3 linked regions of the Rattus norvegicus genome follow. The protein of the gene in region 2 purifies or fractionates together with the protein of the main gene of each other region. This does not show direct contact. Links are inferred from orthologs where the notes say so. Each region holds a gene or a part of one and is shown on either strand. Other genes may lie near its edges. The genes, in order: Nxf1, Ranbp2 and Bicd2.

The links.
Region 1: the proteins of Ranbp2 (region 2) and Nxf1 purify together in Homo sapiens (co-immunoprecipitation; 5 studies listed by BioGRID and IntAct, with this or other methods). This does not show direct contact. The link is inferred for Rattus norvegicus from reciprocal best matches to the Homo sapiens genes RANBP2 and NXF1.
Region 3: the proteins of Ranbp2 (region 2) and Bicd2 purify together in Homo sapiens (affinity purification with western blotting; 3 studies listed by BioGRID and IntAct, with this or other methods). This does not show direct contact. The link is inferred for Rattus norvegicus from reciprocal best matches to the Homo sapiens genes RANBP2 and BICD2.

What each region holds. Positions count from the first base shown.
Region 1 is NC_086019.1:215,094,559-215,098,397, reverse strand, and holds the end of Nxf1 (nuclear RNA export factor 1), read right to left. Parts: coding exon 3,835-3,839; intron 3,741-3,834; coding exon 3,625-3,740; intron 3,501-3,624; coding exon 3,458-3,500; intron 2,706-3,457; coding exon 2,633-2,705; intron 2,363-2,632; coding exon 2,180-2,362; intron 1,286-2,179; coding exon 1,225-1,285; intron 990-1,224; coding exon 951-989; 3' UTR 642-950; downstream 1-641. Other genes in the region: Tmem223 (transmembrane protein 223), read right to left, coding at 249-555.
Region 2 is NC_086038.1:27,005,794-27,009,438, reverse strand, and holds part of Ranbp2 (E3 SUMO-protein ligase RanBP2), read right to left. Parts: intron 3,643-3,645; coding exon 3,481-3,642; intron 3,263-3,480; coding exon 3,125-3,262; intron 3,052-3,124; coding exon 2,905-3,051; intron 2,168-2,904; coding exon 1,988-2,167; intron 1,893-1,987; coding exon 1,809-1,892; intron 1-1,808. UniProt on the Homo sapiens protein: E3 SUMO-protein ligase which facilitates SUMO1 and SUMO2 conjugation by UBE2I. Involved in transport factor (Ran-GTP, karyopherin)-mediated protein import via the F-G repeat-containing domain which acts as a docking site for substrates.
Region 3 is NC_086035.1:15,508,365-15,512,791, forward strand, and holds the start of Bicd2 (protein bicaudal D homolog 2), read right to left. Parts: upstream 2,942-4,427; 5' UTR 2,852-2,941; coding exon 2,612-2,851; intron 1-2,611. UniProt on the Homo sapiens protein: Acts as an adapter protein linking the dynein motor complex to various cargos and converts dynein from a non-processive to a highly processive motor in the presence of dynactin.

The sequences.
Region 1 (3,839 bases), on a different chromosome or scaffold from region 2:
GCCTCATGCATGTCACCAACCTATCGACATTTTTTATACTGTTAAGGGGAGAAAATGCATCTGTGGCCTCAAAAGCCTGCTCATGGCCAGTGTGAGGGGCAGACCTTGGCCTGCGGTTTGCAGAGTGGGGGTGCAAGGCATTCAGAGACTGTTACACCACACCCATACCGGGTGTCCCACCTACTTTTTTGGAAACCCCTTTTTGCTGAGTGAGCGTTGTGCACACAGCCCCACAGCAATGTGCTTACCCATCATGCCGCAACCAACAGCTAACCCGTATCGCCAGAGTGCGGAGCGCAGGTCCAGGGAGCCCCGGTTGGGAGCCTCCGCGGGTACTCGAATCAGAGGTTTGGGCAAGGCTGCAACAGCCAGGGAAGTCCAGAAGATGCTCTGACCCGCACAAAACAGTCCAAGGATGGCAAAGAAGCGGCTACGTTCGTGCTCGAAAAGCAGCACATCCCGTGGGACTCCGCTTTGCAAAGACCGGTGCACATTTCCGGACCGCAGCATAGACAAAAGCTGGCTAACCGACCGTGGCAGCAGAGTCGCCGCCATGGCGGAGCACTTCCGTCTCCGGGGCGGGACTTCCTATAACGACGCACCTTCCCACCCCTCCCACATTGAGGGAAACAAGCCAGTAATGGGACACACACTACAATATCACTCTTTATCTTAAAAAGTAAAGGGAATCCTGGGGTTAAGTACACAGAGCACCTAAGTCCTTCGGTAATTTAGTGTCAGCTCTACAAAGTAAGCTTTGGCTTCCTGGCACCATGAGGCTCAATCTTCCGGAAGTCTTCTCTAAGTCTTCCAGAAGGTAGGTGAGGAGGATGAAGCAGCCCTTCCTCCCCAGTCACAGTTACAGGGTGGCCTCGGGCTGGACAGGAGTCCGCAGATGACAGCCAGACAATATTATCCAAGGGCTATTTACAAGGGGACTTTTCTTGAGATCATTTCATAAACGCTACTTCTGGAATCTCTCCCTTGGCCTGCAGAAAGATAAAATATAAGTAGAGCCAGGTGACCTCTCTCCCACCTTCCCTGCTCAGCTCCTGTGACTCACCGGCTGTCCTGGCACTCTCTATGTAGACCAGGCTAGCCTCAAACCCAGAGATCTGCCTCCCAAATGCCGATTAAAGGCAACCATCACCACGCCCAGCCTTCATCTGACCCTTTTTAAAGGCGCAGAGATCCGTTTTTAACCACAAAATTCCTATACTTTACCTTGAGATGAGTGAAGGCCTGGGCAGATCTGGTGTAGTCCCAGTTATTGTCTTGAAGGCACCTGCAGTATGATTAAAATAGGAAGCCACATGAGAACCAAAATGCAGTCAGTCACTGACCACTGAATGTCACCCCAGAATCCAACCCGTGGAGAACGTCACCAATGTTTTCATTAAGTTCACACACCATCGCACCACTTGTACAAATGTTAAATGGTCAAAATGTCTACCATAAATGACCAATGTAGTTTACACTGGTAGGGAAAGAGCTATACAGTTTAAAAACTACATTCCAGCTGGGCAAGGCAGCTCAGGCCTTCAATCCTATCACTGGAGAGGCTGAAGCAGCTGGGGAACTCGGTGAGGCTGAGGCAAACCTGGGCTACACAGTGGCTTCCAAGCAGCCAAGGCACAAAGTGAGACCCTGTCTCAAAACAAAAGGTGCAGAACCATACATAAAGACTCGGAACTAGGCATGTGCTGTACCTACAGCCCTAGCTCCCTGGAGTGCTGAGGCCCACTGGAATTTAGGACTGGGTAAAGAGTTGAAGCCCAGGTTTAGTGAACTTAGTGAGTTCCTGTTTAAAAATGGACAACAAAACAAACAATAAATAAATAAAAACTTGGCTCATGCCTTTAATCACAACACTTTGGAGGGAGAAGCAAGCAGAGCTCTGTGCATAGTGAGACCCTGTTTCAAAACAACCACCTGAAAAGAGCTTGGTGGTAGAGTGACTACTGCATTTGTGAAGTCAGCTTTAATCTGTAATTCTGCTTGGGGAAGAGGGAGGCCATAGGTAGCTGGGAGGGGGACAGAAAACGAATTCTTCATTTGCGCTTTAAATTTTAAAAAATAATTTATGCAGAATTCTTAGTAGGAATCTTTTTATTAAAGCACTCTAATTCACTGTCAGGCTATCTGTTTCCCCTTGGTCCTATCCATGCTCAACACTCACTTCTGAGACCACTCGAGGTTCATGCCAGACTGGGTAGAAAATGCTTGTAACATATCCTGCTGTTCTTGGGAGAGTGTGGGTACTGGGCTGGAAGAAGGTGTGGGTGCAGGCATGGCGAAGGCTCTTTGGATTTCTTCAGGGCTGGCGTTCCGCACAAATAATTCGTCATTTACAATACATAGCCTTGGGGACAAAAAAAATCTTAAATAAACGGACAAATGACCTCATCTTTCTACACTGTCTTTGTTCTCAGATCTGGTTAACATCCACATGCCCCTCCCTCCCATGTTCCCTTTCATTCCCTAACACACCAAGAGTTGCTATTCACTTCATAAACTTCTATTGCTTTTCTGCAATTCTGAAAACTACCTAAGGAATATCTCTACCTTCCAGCTATCACACTGCTACCCTGGGACTGAAAATAATACCCAAACTGATAAGCTGAGTACTTACCCTGAATTGCTGGCAGGAACAGCAATGAACGTTCTCGTGAAAGCACGTAAAGAATCTCGAGACTTCCCGTCCACTGCAATGAGAGAAGTGTGGCAATGGCTCCTTAAGCCATTCAGGCTTGATCTTACAATTATCACTCACACCACGGTGTCTGACACAGAGACTCCTAACTTGGTCAGGTAAGGAGGGTTATTTGGTCATAAGGAAACAGAGGTGGGATAAAGGGACAGATCAGATAATAACAGAATTTGCTGTGTGCTATAGGAAGTAAAACAATTTAAAAGTGTTAGCCTAGCTTGGCAAAGTGCCTGAAATCATTCCTGAAGTACCACTGTGCAAAAGTATTATGAAATCATCTAACAAAACAGAAAAAAGAACAAGATTCAAAGGTATTGCAACTTTCCCAGACCCACAGCATTAACACAGGGACAGAAATGGAGACCTGGGCTGGGGAGATGGCTCAGCAGTTAAGAGCACTGACTACTCTTCCAGAGGTTCTGAGTTCAATTCCCAGCAACCACATGGTGGCTATCGACTATAATGGGATCTGATGCCCTCTGAAGACAGCTACAGTGTACTCATATACATAAAATAAATAATTCTTTAAAAAAAAAAAAAAAGAAATGGAGACCTGCCTGACTCTTACGCTTACACTGTTTGGGTCCCCAGGTTTTTGTCATACTGCAGGTAAGACAGGTGGAAGAGTTTTAAGGCCAAACCAAGATGTACTGGGCAAAATAGGACAGAGGTCGGAGAAGAAAAGGGATGAGAAGTCAGCTAGGAAACTAAAGATACTGAGAAAGGTTCAGAACTCAAAATTCTTACCTTCCTTGAAGACTCCATTGACAGAAAAACACAACAATGTGCTCTGAAAGAGAAAAAGCACCCGAAGTAATGGAGGTTCCCAACCCGGAGCCTGAGCCTCCTTACCCAGTGAATGCTGAACTCATGACCCCACTTCTGAGCTTCATTAGGAAAACATATGTACTTACTGTTTGGGCACTTATATCTACCACAAAGGAGTTAACGTCATGGTGAGTTTTAGGTAACTCATTGAGGAAGGCAACGACATTAAGACGTGTATGCTTTAATAGCCGGAACCGCGTGGCTACAAGCAGAAGGAAGGGAAACCACGGTTAGGGCACATCCACACTGGCTAGCTCTACTGATTCCCATTTTGACTGCACACACAATAAACTTACTGGTA
Region 2 (3,645 bases):
TTTTGCTTTTCTCCCCCCGCCCAAAAAAAAATACTAATAATATCATTATCAATGTATCTGGGTATAAAATGACAGTGGATTTTTAAAACAGCTTCAAATTTTTGAAAACAGCATCCAACCAAATTATAACAAATGAGATCAGAAAAAAACCTAATGTATTTGCTTTCTTGATCTACAAATGCTGCATTTGGAGTGGTGGCTCGCATATACAGTCCCAGTAGGAGGGAAAGTAAGGCAAGAAAAGGGTCATAAATTTCAAGCTTTCCATTACTATAAACAATGTCTCAAACACAAAACAAATAAATACAAGTGTTTCAAATATTTCCTTACCTCAATTTTAACTTAAAAATAATCTCCACTCATCTACCTACTCCTCTGCCTAGACACTGCATATCCACGAATAAAAAACTAGAAGAAATGATGGCCCCTAGCTCTAAATCTGATATACGATATAATCCTAACTGTTAATGGTAAAAGAACTAGGGAGACTGGGGAGATGACCCTCTGTAAAGCACCTGCTAAACTAGCACAAAGATCTGCATTCAGACTTCAGTGCCCACATAAGAGCTTGCTGGTGTGTGCCAAAAACCATAGCATTACAAGGTGGAGAGAGAGAATTCCCCAGAGCTCACTGGTCAGTCAATCTAGCCAACTGGTGAACTGCACATTCAATGAGAATAAAACAAGGTGGAAATTAATAGAAGACAACCAAGGTCTTCTATTAATTAACATCTGTGGCCTCCACATGTATCTACCTGCACATACACATTAAAAAGTATATAATAACAACTGGTTTCATCAATTCTAAAGCTTTACAAAATACTAAAGTAAGAAATCAAATTTTCCAAGAACAATAACTAGACTCGAGTTCTGGTAGCAACCAGTTTTCCAGGCTCACAGACAAAGTTCCCATTACATTTCCACAGAATAATGCTGAACAACTGAAACTTGTACACTGAAAGGAACTCTAATGTGTTACATGGCTTATGTAACAAAAAATGTATTTGTACAAATTCAAAATTTTGTTATTTAACCAGTTTTCAAAGCTGAGCAAATCAACAAAGCTGTTGATTATACATACCATAATAATCACCACATAGCAAAATGTACTTAGTGTAACATTAGGTGTAGGAATAATTTAGTTCTTAGCCAAAAGGCATGAAAAAAGATTTGTGTAATTCTAAAATAAGAAACCAGTAAATACTACACTATAATTAAGCCACTCATATAAAAAGCATCTAAACAAGAAAAAAAAATTCAACTCAACTGTTCAATGCCCAGTGATAAATTTGACACACTTTAATAACATACATGCTGACAAATTAACACAAAATGGTAACGATAGTACATACAAGTTACTCATGGAGAGATAACAGGAATCAAATTATGTTTTTAGGAAAAAGGTTTTATCTTAAAAAACTCTTATCTCATGTGGCGATAGACTTCTAAGTAACTTAGAAAATATAGTTAAGAGTCAAAAGAAATTGATTCTATAAACTATACTAAAGAGCACATGTTGATCAACTAAGAAAGTAAAAAATAATCCAGAGGGGGGGAGGGGGGGGAGGGGAAAGGGATGGGGAGGGGAGAAGGAGAAGGGAAGGGGAAAGGAGGGAAGGGGGAGGGAGAACCCAAGCAAGCTTGAAGCCAAGTGTGGTGGTGAAGGCCTTTAATCCCAGCACTCCAGAGGCAGAGGCCAGCCGTCAACAGACTGAATTCCAGGGCAGACAGGGTTACATACTGTCTCAAACTGATTAGAGAAAAAAAATCTTAGCATAAGAGTTACATTGAGCCAAACTAAATGTTACCTTAATGGCCTCTACTTGCTGGCAGATCATTTTCAATAAAGAATTTTGATCTTCTGCCCATCGAGGTGGTGTTTTTGGCGAATACTAAATATACAAACATACACACAAATATATTAACAGTGTTTACAATGTGTAGAAAACAACGTCATTGTACAATGATTCATTTCTTTCCTACTTGCCTTGTAACTTTTACTTGGTGATAGAGAATATTTGGTAGGAGATGGTGTTGAATGCTTTAACTCTGAATCAGCACTTCGAAAGCAACCATTTTTATAAAGAGTACCTCCTTCACTGTAGTCTTCAAGTTCCTGCATAACTGAGTTCAGCATCTCTTTTACAGACTCAAGGGGGACAGGCAACTGAAAAAAAAAATCCATTAGTTTACAAAAAAATGTTAAAATGCCTTAGAAATAAAGAATCAGTTTTATTAAGCTGTTCATATTTTTCTTATTTTGAGTCAGAATCTCACTTTGTAGCCTAGGGTTCCCTTGACTTCTCAGTCCTGACTCAGTCTTCCAAGTGTGAATACTACATGTGTGTACCACAGCCCATTTTAACAAGCATCTTATTACATGTTAAATTATACATATAAAAGTATTGCAGAATCTAAAGTCTAAGTTGTTACTATTTTATCTGTAAGTCATAGTAAAAAGGAAAGTGAACTTAGGAAAGAAGTTTTTCCGTATAGAAGTTATACATTCTTCTAAGATACTTTGAACAGAGTGAAATACAGATGCTGAAATACACCGGACAATATAAATCCTAAGCTAAGATCAGCAATACATGTTAATTAATAAAAAAAACTTAGAAGGAAGAAAACCACTATGAGTGTGAAACTGCCGATTTTTTTTCCCCCGGAGCTGGGGACCGAACCCAGGGTCTTGCTCTATCACTGAGCTAAATCCCCAACCCCGAAACTGTCGAATTTTTGTTGTTGTTTCAAGATATACCAAACCTAAGATAAAAGAAAACTAAGCATTCATGCACATGCCCTGATCATCTATCATAAGGGAAACTTAGAGACTTAAGAAAGGACAAAATACAAAACCTGGGCAATTATCAACAATACTAAATGTCAGACAAACCAGCAACTTACTTTCTGAACCACGGAAATATTTGAATCACTATCATCTAAAATCTTTATCAGGTAGTCCCTAGTCTTTCTCAGATAATTTTTGCACTCTTCTTGTTCTTCAGGAGACAAGGCATCATTTTCAATATCTTCTGCTTTCCTGTGAAAAATCTACACAAAATACAATTAACATTTTCAAAGCAAGCAAACAAACAAAACTCAATTCAATTGTCACATCACTTACCAGTGCAAGATTCCAATAAGAAACTACATTTTTAATAGATTCAAAAGCAGTCATGGCATCTTCTATGTTTCCGTTAACAGCATCCAATATAGCAAAAGTTATGTGTGCATCTTCTTCATATTCGCCAATTTCAGATACCTAAATACATTTATTTAGTAACTGTTAGTTAAATTGCTTGAACCCCAAATTTCCAAAGATTTATTTTATCTGAAGAAAATTAACAGTTCATTAGTCAAAATTTTTGTCAGCTACAAGATTGAGAAAGCAATGCTACCATAAAATAGCAGTACACTTTGCTTAGTTATTGTCTGTATATGATAAGTTACACATGCGTCAGTTCATTAGCTCATTCTTACCTGAATATCCACACTATGGAAATGTTTAAACAGAGGATCAATAGGTTCAGGAATACTATTCTTCTTTCTGATCATCTTCAACAATGGTAAGACTTTCCTCCAATAATGAACACTTCTGCCTATGTATTCCCGTTGATCATAAAAAGAATTAAGACTGCTGCCCTA
Region 3 (4,427 bases), on a different chromosome or scaffold from region 2:
GATGGATAAGCAGAAGAGGCGCAGAAAGACTTGGGACAGATGTGGCCCTTACTGAGTTAGACACACAATATCAGCAAAACAGGCTATGAGGCCTCCTCTCCACTTCTAGCCTCAGTCAACACCCGGGCCATGGTTGTAAGCAAGACATAGCCATTCTCCCAGAAATAAAGACAGCGGGGTCAACGCTCAGTTGGCTCACCAGCACAAGCTCTCCTGGGATCTGGTTGTAAACCCTTTCACCCAGGTCAGACGGCTTCCTCACCTCAAAGGCTTGCATGACTAAACTCGGGCAAGCACACAAGCAACTCGACGACAGCATAACTTAACTTGTTAGTAACTAAATCTACCACATTTAAAGGAGCAAACAACTTAAGACAGTTCACCTCTCTATGGGGAGAAAACTTCCTATATACGCTGTCTCCTTAAATCTTCATTTTTTTTTTTAAAGTAGAAGTTAGTATTTCAAATACAATACTGACCAAGATTAAAGAGTTTGACCAGAGCCTGCTTTGGCATGGGTGTGAGGAACAATCTGCTGACAAGAGGCAGATTGGCACAAACTTTTGGCAACACTCTCTGAAGCTGATGCATTCCTCTGGACTCCACCAGAAACTTCTGGAAGAAACCTTATCCCACCTCACAAATGGGAGAGGAGCAGCCTGTCCAAGCCTATACAGTGTGGGACTGGCATTAGACTAAGCAGATACCTAAAGGGCACCTAGAGAATAGATCGCACCCTCTTCCTCATCTTCTCAGAGGTTTCCCTCCAGATACAGAGAAGGCCACATGTATGCCACCATTGTTCTTCACTGAGTCATAAAATGATTCTGCCCATAAAACAATTGCAGGAGGCTGACCAACAGAAGTCACCCAAGTGAGGACCGACTAGATCACCAACAGCCAGTTTTCACAGCACATGCCCCTGAAAGAAACCTGCTAATTCAGAGGAGGAGAGTGGGCTTCCCAGGAGAGGTTCACAGGCATTCCACAGGAAGTGGGAAGGCAACCCATATGTATGTGCAGTGGGAGTGGTACTGTAATTAAAGGGTGCAGCTACCTGCCTGGAGCACTAAGGAGGGGGGAAGGGAAGCCCCAGACAGAAGACTAGATTTGGGAAGAGGATACACCCACTCCATATTTTCACAGTCCTGACCTTCATCTATCACCTTGACTGTCCCCTCCCCCTCCAGGGGGGGCTGCCCATCCCCCTCCTTTTGTCAACCCACTGCGGATGGAGCCAGGCTTGGGAAAGTAACTGATGTCCTCTGACAGACAACAGACTTGAGATTCTGTGGGAAGACTCAATTCCTACCTTCCCACAGAAGCAGCCACTTCTGGGACTCACCCAGCCCTGTTCTACCCAGACTTTAGGGATTCATTCCCCCCCAGAAAAGAAGAGAGGCTCTAAAGAGTTCAGGCACCCACCCAAAGCTGGCTGGGAGCAGAAGTATCCAAAGATGAGCCTGTGATTTTAACACCCGAGAGCAGAACTGAGTCTGACAGGGAAGGGAAACCATTTAGATAATCCAAAAAGCTACCTGTGTGGCCCACATCAGGCCTTTCTAAATGCAGAGCACTCAGAGCAATACTTGTGGGTTGGCAAAGCTGTATTCCTACTTTGCAGAGCTGGAAGCTAAGGTTTGAGGAGAGCTTGCCCATGGCTCACCCATAGCTCACCCATAAGCAATAAGGGGGGGTTGGTCCAAACTCAAGTGTGTCCCTCTTCCAGAAAGCATTTCCCCGACAGTCTCCAGAACACGGCTGGGGAGTCAAGACGGATGGGAGAGTCACTAACACTTAAATCATCCCAGAAAGCTTACCCAGGTCCCTCCTACTGCATCCCCCCCCCCCTCAAGCTCTTAGCCAGCCTGGGGGGTCCAACCTCTCTCCCTACAGTGGGATGACACAAAGCACCAGGTTCCGACAGAAGGAACGCAGACTCCAGGGCGACAGGCAGGGCCTAGGAGACCGAGCAAGACAGGAAGCGGTCGATGGAAGCCATGCTTCCCAGTAGTGGGTGCACCATTAATGAGATTGGGGGGGGGGGGGGGGAAGCAGCTGACTGAGCCAGAGCTAAGTCACACTGATGCGATGGATACTGGGAAAGCCGGCCTGTCAAGGGTCATGGGCAATCAGGAGCTGCGACTCACTGTATCCATCCCTTCCCAGCCTCAGGCAGTCATGAAACCAGATGAACAGCACAGAAAGCAGCTGCTCCAAAAAGGGGGGCAGTGATTTGCTTGAAGATGACAGACTGTGGTCAACCAGCCCCAGGCTCAGCCTTACCAAGGGGGTCACTTTCACGGACAGCCTCAGCTGTAAGGGCATCGTCTGCTCCCCCGCCGCCTACACAGACACACCCAAGGCAGCAATAACCATAGCAGGACATCAGTCCTCAACGAAAGGACTATTAAGGCCTGCAGAGAAAACTAGCGGGTACGTGGAGCTGCAGGGAGCCTAGACCCCAGCAGCAGGGCACGGGGCCGAGCATGGTCACTCTCCGTCACTGCCTTGGACCACAACTCTAGGTCTTCTGCCCCACCCCTGGTACCTCCCACCACTGGGCAGGATGACCTCAGAGCCCCAGGCAGGGGTCGCAGCCGGCCACTACCTCTTTGAGCTGCTCCATCTCGCTGCGGATGGCCTCATAGTCCACCTCGAGCTCCTCGAACTGCAGCTTGAGCTGGTGCTTCTCCTCAAGCACCGCCAGTCCATACTCGGCCGCCTGGATCTTCTCACGCGTGGTTTCGGCCAGCTCGTGGGACAGTCGCTTCACCTCGGCGCGCAGCCACTCCGGCTGCGCCTCCATCACCAGACGCGCATACTCCTCCTCCTCCGACGGCGCGGACATGGTGGCCGCGCGCCGAGGCCCGCTCCCACCTTGGCTCCCACAAGCCGGGCCCTCTTAGCCGCCGCCGCCGCCGCCCAGCCCCGACGGCCGCCCGCGCCGCCGCACTGCTCCTCCCTGACGCGCGGGGAACACTGGGGGCTGCAGTCCCACTGAGCATGGACTACATAACCCGCAGTCCCTTGCGCCCACCTGGTCTGAGGCTGTGATTGGTCTAAATCTCAAGGGGGCATGAGCCTAAAGAGACGCAAAGCTACGTCTCCCTTAGCATTGTGGGAGATGTAGTCCTACTGTGCGCTCACTGCTTGGCCTGTTGTGTGCCGCGCCTGCCTGGCTTCAATCGGTGATTGGCCGGCGCCGCTGACGTGACAGCAGTAAGGGTGCCACCGACCCCAGCCCAAGGACCCCGCAGCCACCCGGAGAACCTCCAGCCTTGTGCTCCTATCCTTTCTAGAGTAAGGCGATCTGAGCTGTGGAGACTACGAATAAGATTCGCGTCCTACAACGTCAGAGCCTGGTTGGTGAGACTGTGTGGCGCGCGCTCTATGCGGGATTTGAATGACTTGTGGCGGGCCGCGGGCACTGCCAAAAGGATGCCAACAACCTGACGCTAGGGGCTCAGCGGAGCCCAAACCCGGATACTACTTCCTTCCTCTTGTCCCTTTGTCCGTTAGGATATTCTTTCATAGAAATGAAAGCACCTCCGTGAGCATAATGTCATAGGTGTGTTTAAATGTTGTCTGTCCCCGATTTTCGGCGGGACATGGCTGTACTCTTCACTGTATGTCTAAATAAAAGTTCCCTCCTCGCATGGTGATTTGGATATAACAAGCTTATTCCTCTTCTCACTGCACACCCTCCGCCCCCGCAACACCACACCCTACAGCTGCGGACCACCATAAAACATAGAGGTCAGCTGGAGAGAAGGCTCAGAGGATAAAGCTCTTGCTCAGCAAGAGCAAGGACCTATATTTGCACCCCCAGAGCCCACATAAAGCACAGTCTATAATCCCAATGTTCCCAAGGCAAGATGGGAGGTGGAGATTGGAGAATCCCCTGAAGTTAGACTAGTGCATGAAGTTGGGGGTGGGGGTGGGGAACTAAGATAACCGGCCTCAAACAAGATGCAAGACAAAGACTGACAACTAGATCTGGCCCTCTGATTCCCAGTGCACGTGGGGCCTGTGTGTACCCACAGGAATATGAACCCACTTCACCATACACACACACGCACACACACGATTAAAAGAAAATCTAGGGCCAACACAAGAATTGTGTAGTAAATAAACTTTGTGTGGTGGAGCACACCTTTAATCCCACCACTTGGGAGACAAAGGTAGAAGGATTTCAAGGCCAGCCTGATCTATATATGAAGTTCCAAGCCAGCCAGGACTAAATAGAGAGACCCTGTCTCAAAAACAAGAGAGAGTTGTATAAATACACGTGTTGTTACCTTTTCTCTTGAGCCAACCAGCTTAATTTGCTAGGAGAGTCCTGGCTCTACACTGAGGCCCATATATCAGGCCCACAAAGCTCTTCACACTAAGTGAGGGAGGATGTTTTGGAACAAACCTTGCTC